2 linked regions of the Bombyx mori genome follow. The main gene of each other region encodes a partner of the protein of the gene in region 2 in a complex. Links are inferred from orthologs where the notes say so. Each region holds a gene or a part of one and is shown on either strand. Other genes may lie near its edges.

Region 1 (3,518 bases), on a different chromosome or scaffold from region 2:
CAAAAATAGGCAGGACCTACCCGTGCGGACTCACAAGAGGTCCTACCACCAGTAAACAATGAAAACATTAACAAAAAATGAAGACAACGTTAGGCAATCCAGGCGCCTTAGTAACAGAAATCGACGTGATTACTTCAGTGCGCCGCGTAGGACACCGGTGACCTACACGACAGTCAAAGGGTTAAACAGTAGCTTCGATTAAACGCGATCGATTCACCCAAACGATATAGCGTTAGTTATACTTAACAACATCGAAAGCTCGAACGAAAGCTCTAAAAAATCACTACACCGAATTAGTTAACAACGACCAAGCTTTGCTTCAATTTTAATTTTTTTTTTTTATAACAACCAAAACATTACAGTTGAAAGTTGACAAGAATTTGATTAATACCTTAATTCAGTTATAGATAAAACATTATCCTAATTTCTGTGACCAAACATCTAAGAATTTTCACCTAGCTGAATCGATCAATTAATTTTAGAAAATTATATTTTCAATAATTTAATATTGCATATTTTATTGTCACCTCCATTATTCTTGACGCTTCGATAACGGTCTCAATACACTAGTTGATTTTTTTTGTACTTTCACAGAAAATTGAAGCAAAGTTTTCTCGAACAACTAACTATACAGGGTGTTGCAAAATGAAAATTATATTAAGATTAGAAGAATTTACACTTCGAGGAGTGAAAAGCTATTTAGTTAAGCGACATTTCGCTTAACACGCGACATTTATCTTTATAATTAAAGGTGCGTTTTATTTGGTATCAGCATCAACAGTATGATGTATATAATTGAACTTCAATTATGTTTATTCCATTCAAATAGCTGAAGAAGTTTTTGTGTTTACGATGTTTTTATCAAATTTTAAATTTTAAATGGCTCTACTGTAAAATCGCAAAAATGTCACTTAAACCAAATATATATATTTTTTATTGCTTAGATGGGTGCACGAGCTCACAGCCCACCTGGTCTTAAGCGGTTACTGGAGCCCATAGACATGTACAACGTAAATGCGCCACCCACCTTCAGATATAAGTTCTAAGGTCTCAAGTATAGTTATAGCCTTGCACCCGTCAACTTATACACATATTGGGAATATATTGTTACTGTTAATGACACAGACAACGTTTTGATTGATAAAGCTTATTCTGTTTCTGTGGAATGCCAATAATCTACTTTATATATATATATATAAATATATAATTTTCATTTTTACCACACCCTGTACATGAAAATTAGCTTATAACTTGTCTGTATGTCTCGATTTGCGGTGCGCTGTCCTTGTGTCGGCCGATGAGCCTGCGACCGCAGCTCAACGCTCTGGCCGTCTCTAATACCACAGGGATAAGGTTCAAAATCGTGCGACAATACGATGCGAAGAATCTTGTTAAGAGTGATGATGACTGCAACTAAAAACCTACCTTCGATACGCTGAAGTATAGCACGGACAAGTCCCTCCTCATCCGTGAAATCGTTCAGATCCTCTATGAGTGCGTGAAAGCGACAAACGAATATGAAACTTGTGAACTAGACGTTAAGGCTCTAAATGGAAAGTGCCGTGATAATATTTTAAAACTAATATGCGATGACTGTATTCCGAGTTTAAATCTGTCATAAATACACGCCCCTTCCCCCATCTATTACACGGTGTGTTGTTACCGCGTTATACGATTATTAATGTATAACGCGCTCCTAAGAATATCAAATTGAATATTGAACATTTGCGTCTTATTTAAATCAATATAAGAACAATATAAATACATACAAAATATCCCCCGCGTTGTACGGGGGAAATGCGCATAGTACACGAAGTATATGAAATCGCGTTATAAGATCACCGCGTTATCATGAGAATTTCTGAAAGTCATATATAGACATGAATACATACAAAATATACGGGAAATCCCCGCGTTATACTGGGGAGGCGTGCGTATTACACGAATATATAAAATCGCGTTATAAGATCACCGCGTTATCATAAGAATGTATGATATAGATATATATTTTTATTTATGTCGATTTTATCTACGAATTTAAAAACTGAGGGTTATAACTGTTTTTTTTTCTAAATTAAAATACATAATGGATCATTGCGACAATATTGAATGGGATAAATTTGGATCTTTAATTGACCACGCCAATGTTAATGGAAGTTTATATTATTATCATCGGCACACGACGAGTTGTTCCTACATGACTTATTACGTCATAGTTGATTCACCCAAATAAGTTGAGTTTTTTGTTAACTACCCACATTTGGGATTTTTTTTAAACGTTTCGTAATTATTATTTTTATTGCTTAGATGGGTGAACGAGCTCGCGGCACACCTAGCGTTAAGTGGTTACCGAAGCTCATAAATGTCTACAATGTAAATGCGGCCACCCACCTTGAGATATAAGTTCTAAGGTCTCAGGTATAGTTACAACGGCTGCCCCACCCTTGAAACCGAAACGCGTTACTGCTTCACGGCAGAAACAGGCAGGGTGATGTAACCTACCCGGGCGGACTCACAAGAGGTCCTACCACCAGTAAAGAAGTAAATGTTAGGGTCGATGAGTACTGACCGCCAGCGACGCGGGGGTTGGCCTTCTTCCTAGGCCTCTCTCTGCTGAAGGCGGATCCGCTTTGCAGCGCCTCCATCAGACTGTAAGAGAAGTAATTCATTATTGATTGATTGATTGATGATTGATGAGTATTACTTAGTTTTATAGTGTAAGTTGATGTACATAATAATATGTGTAATAATGAATATTCAATGTTTGGATTGTACTGTTGATTTCATAAATAAATAAAACTATATACTGGTGACGATACTCGTTTGGCGCGTTAACAAAATCCATTGTTCTTGGAATTCAGATAGATACGGATGTCGGAAGCTAGTACGAGTATTACCTTTACTACAAAGATTGATCACTGATGTCCATAGACATCGACAACGGGTTCGATTTTTATTACACGATGTTATTCCTTCTTCGTGGAAGTCAATCGTGAACAATTGTTAAGTACGTATTTCATTAGAAAAATTGGTACCCGCCTGCGGGATTCGAACACCGGTGCATCGCTACATACGAATGCACCGGACGTCTTATCCTTTAGCCCTTCTTCTAGCCCTCAGCCGGAGCGGGGGGGGGGGTGAGTGCAGGGGCGTTGGGGCGGGCGGTTACCTGTCCATGACCCCGTCCTGCGCCTGCTCCATGTCCACGAACTGCTTGTAGCGGTGCTGCCGGTCGCGCCGCTCCTGCTCGGCCGCCGCGCGCGCCTCCCTCGCCCTGCGCGCCCGCGCCTCCCCCTCGCGCGCCAACACGTTCTCCTGGTGCGCGTGCTGTACAACGACAACGAGACATGTTAGTGCTTAAATCATTAGAGGGGCTCGCGGAGCCCATGGACATATACAACGTAAACACAGCCGCTTAGAGACCCAAGTTCCAATTTACAGTACAACGGCTGCTGCAGCCTTTGAATCGAAACGCATTAATGCTTCTCGATATGCAGGATAGTTTTGCCTGTAGTGGT
Region 2 (4,154 bases):
TATAAATCGGATGGTGGAATATCTGGGGTATACAGTGGCAGAGTAAGACACCCCATTTGAGTGTTTCAAAGTAAGTTTAAATGGATTTGGCAAGGTGAGGCCTAATGATGTCATACAGGGGAATCACTATATCATGTCATATTATGTCCATATTTTGTGCAGCGCTATATCACATTAATTGAGTTTGGTGTCATTCCCTATGGGTCGTTTCAATTTGGTTTCAACTGCTCAAAATAAATACTCCTGACCTGGTCCCACCAAGTACACAGCACAATCGTCACAGTCTGAGTATACAGCCGAACTGTGCAGGCTAATGCTATGAATATAACTCTTCTTTTTGTAACATTTTGACTTTAACTAATAAGGAATCCAGGCTCCTTGCTTTTGAAATACTTTCAATAGATGTGATAACTTGTAAATGACTTTGTGAGCAACTGCTTATGCTGAGGCTAGCGGATTTTGCATCAGCCACTGATTCAATCAGATACAAATTTGAAGACAGCGACTTCGTTGAATTTAGCTTTCCTTTACTTTGACAGTCATCAATATCGAAACCACTGTCTATGAACTGACTGAACCAATCACAGCATATAGTTTCGCTTAAAGCAGCATTGCCATAAACTTTTTGTAGTTCTCGAAGAGCTTCATCCAGCGTATTTTTCAAATGAAAGAAGAAAAGAAACACTTCCCGCATATGATACTTATTTGTTATAAAATCAGACAGTTTCACACAACCAAAAGTATATGTAACAACATAATTTTCAATAAATTTAATGTTTCTTTTATTTACCATCTGTCTAAGCTTGGTTCACAATATATTTGATCTATCAAAATCGACCAGCACTTACTGCTGCAGCCATCTATTGAGAAACAGCGAGAACTTAGTTGCAAGCCTTATACATATATTATTACTACATACCTACATACTCTTTTTATGATTGCGAGCATAAATTCCACTGTAGAAATTGTATTGTAAACAAAATCATGTTACAGACAAACTTGCTTAGTTTATAATTTTCTTTTTAACAGAATTAAAATAAAATATTACTATTAAGCATGTGATGCAATGTTTCTAATAAATACCCACACCCACACATTATTAACTAAGAATGATAAAATAGATTATTCAAAATTAAATTAATAGATCCAGCGATATGAAGGTCGTATACTGTTATTCAAAGTTGAACTAAATGTCAAGTCAACTTCTACATATTTTGTATTAATAAAAATTAATATACACATGGTTTATGATTATGCCAATGATACAGCTTGGAGCTCATACTCCCTGTTATCACCATTCATCCTACAACTACCTAGACATTAACATTATCTGATTTAAAATGTAGCAGTTTCAAATATTATCTTTCAAAATGGGTAAAAATATCTATACATTGTGATTACTATTAATGGTATTATGAACATTTTGATTCAACTAATGATTTCACTGTGTTAAGTTATTTTATGATCCACATTGAGAAATTTCGCTTAGGCAAGTATTACTGTTGTTTTGGTGATAACAGTAAAATAAAATATTTGTCTTACTTTTACTTTATTGAATATAATAGTACGACTGAATATATGTATAGCTAAACAGTAACCTGGTAATATGTTAAGCCTTTAAATATAACTTTAAATATACCTTATAAAGGTTTTAATATAAAAAAATTGAGGAGAATAAATCATGAGAAAATGAAGATGAGTAATGTTGTTTATTCCATGTATTGGGATACACTGGTTCATAGTTTAATATTATGAGAAGTTAAAACTATTTTTAATCATTGTAAAGATACCATTATCCTCCTAAGCTGCATTCTAATATCCAGTCACTCTTAATTCATTATTGCATTAAGAAATCTTTTTAATTGACAACTGAAATAAGCTCCTTGGGTAGAATACAGTCAATTCTACAACTGTTAAGTTGAAATCAACAATTGATTTAAATAATTTACCATTTTTTATTTTAAATCTAGCAGTCCTTGACCTGAATGTTATTACTGACTTTTTCCAAATCTTCAACTAATTCACGAATTGTTATTAGAAGCCCAACAAAAATACAGTTATTTAGGAGGAAAAAAATATATTTAAAAATGTTAATAGTTAAAAACAAAAGCGATCGACACCCATACTAATTAGCTTTAAGTGCATTACACAAACTGCATTCCGACTCGGCGATAATCAGGGTCTCATACGTCGCATAGCAAATGAAATGCCAAGCACACTACAAAATAGGAACACATTCAAAGGGCATTGACCTTTAAAAGGGTCGAATTAAAAGAAAACTGCTTTTAAAGAACATTTCGAGCACAAAACAAAGAACTATTTCCTGAGATAGTATTGTAGCCGAGCGACCGATAACAGCCAACAGGGTGTGTTTGTCGTCCGCAAGACAAGTGCCTCCGAGTTCCTGTTACCTTTCAGTCCCGTGGTACTATTTGAGTATAAGTATTCAATGGCTACGGAGAATGAAATTAAAGCGATAGGTATAGTGTTAAAAAAAACGATAACTTTCTAGAAATATTTGAAGTATTTTTGCTTTTTTTTACATAATCACGTCACAATAATTTTGACGTCCATTTTGTGTTGTGCTCGACAACAACCACTAATATGGTGTTTTTACCTTATTTGTAATCAATTTCATTTCATTACACACTTACCTAATTACGAAGATAATAAATATTTCAAATGAATACAATAACACCACGTTGTAAATAGGAAATGTTGAATGTTACAGTCTCCAAGTAGCGGGTTGGGTCATTGACGGTGTGACGCCATTGATTGAATAGAGCAGTAAATGCCTAGAAATTTGTCTATGGTCCGAATGTCAACAGTCAGAGAATCGATTTTATCGTACCTTTAGTAAAAAAATATTAACAAAATGGAAATAAAATATTTATTTTAAACGAATTGCTGAGTTAATTTCAATATTTGTTTTAAATCTAAAACATATGCTTCTTTAAAACTATTATAATCATATACTACACATAAATGGAAGGCGTACATAATTATTTAAGTAGGTACGTGTTCCATGATCCGAGGCCGTTGATATGATTCAATAAGAATCAGAGTGTACTTAATTAACACTGATATAAGTAAAGTTTTGGAGGGTCAATCATTTGAGCTCTACAAAGTATAGGACAACGAAAATTCTCACCTGTAGTTATCAGAAAGTAGCTATCCTTTAAATACTTACTGAAATAAATGCTTTAGTAATTTGATGTAATCATTGCGTAATTTAAGTAATATCAAATATTTATCTATACTTTAAATTAAATAGACGGGTTAAGTGATGATGACGCTGTGGAAGGAAATTTACGGGAGCTCCAAGTGTCGGACTGGCAAGATGTTGCGCAGCGCCGGGATGAATGGCAAAGTTTATTGTCGGAGGCCGAGACCCACTTCGGGGTCATAGCGCCAGCTCAGTAGTAGTAGTAGTTAAGTGATTAACGAAGCCTCCTTGCCCTAAACACGTAATTACGGATCCTCCCGATACAAACGGTTCTTTTAGGTACCTTAAGCACCAGTCACCGTTCCCACTGAACCCATCGCTTGCAACGCCGTGCTCGGCGAGTAAATTAACCCACAGACACAGACCACTAAGCTCGTCGCTGGATCTTCTCAATGGGTCGTGTTTCCAATTCGGTGGTAGACTCTGCGAAGCACTGCTCTTGCTAGGGACAGTGCTAGCAACTTCCTTATTAGAGCCCCAAGAGCTCACCTACACGCAAGGGTAACGCTAATATAGCTTCTCAAGGCTATAAGTATTGGTACGAAAAAAGTAGCCTACAGACCAACATAAAAATCGGATGTGCAAAAACGAAACTAATTTATTGATATTCACTGTGAAGTTTGATAATGATTGTTGGAGCAAATAAATCCATAACAAAAAATAACATTGAATATTTGTAACAATTAGGTAAATCGTACAATCTATGTCACATACTCATTTAATCATATACCAATTTTCGTTGTGAAATAGTAGTTGGCAATTAGTATTATGCAATAAAATGCTGTTACATCGTTCATAGAATAAATTGCGCACTATAAAATCGACTAAAAAAAATTTGACGTACTTTCTTAATGTCAAGAATCATTTTTGTCACCTCTTTTGAAAATCTGGCAGGCAATAAAAATAAAAGAAGAATACTTGTACTCCA

What was found.
Region 1: the proteins of cdc42 homolog (region 2) and protein diaphanous are in contact, whole or in part, in a crystal structure (PDB 3EG5), measured with the Mus musculus proteins. The link is inferred for Bombyx mori from reciprocal best matches to the Homo sapiens genes CDC42 and DIAPH1. Residues at the interface, in NP_033991.1 of Mus musculus: Val36, Phe37, Gln61, Glu62, Asp63, Tyr64, Asp65, Arg66, Leu67, Pro69, Leu70, Pro73, Glu95, Lys96, Pro99, Glu100, His103, His104; in NP_031884.1 of Mus musculus: Met90, Asp93, Met94, Asn95, Leu96, Lys100, Pro103, Leu104, Lys107, Ile111, Met115, Gln118, Tyr119, Thr122, Ser133, Tyr139, Ser158, Arg160, Val161, Ser162, Leu163, Pro167, Val168, Val171, Arg210, Lys213, Ala214, Asn217, Asn218.

Annotation. Positions count from the first base shown.
Region 1 is NC_085129.1:19,600,738-19,604,255, forward strand, and holds part of protein diaphanous, read right to left. Parts: intron 3,328-3,518; coding exon 3,170-3,327; intron 2,650-3,169; coding exon 2,570-2,649; intron 1,335-2,569; coding exon of another isoform or gene 1,240-1,334; exon of another isoform or gene 1-1,239. UniProt on the Homo sapiens protein: Actin nucleation and elongation factor required for the assembly of F-actin structures, such as actin cables and stress fibers. Binds to the barbed end of the actin filament and slows down actin polymerization and depolymerization.
Region 2 is NC_085107.1:13,964,451-13,968,604, forward strand, and holds the start of cdc42 homolog, read right to left. Parts: upstream 2,804-4,154; 5' UTR 2,655-2,803; intron 2,450-2,654; exon of another isoform or gene 2,253-2,449; intron 861-2,252; exon of another isoform or gene 791-860; intron 695-790; coding exon of another isoform or gene 317-694; intron 1-316. Other genes in the region: uncharacterized protein LOC134199721, read right to left, coding at 317-694. UniProt on the Homo sapiens protein: Plasma membrane-associated small GTPase which cycles between an active GTP-bound and an inactive GDP-bound state. In active state binds to a variety of effector proteins to regulate cellular responses. Involved in epithelial cell polarization processes.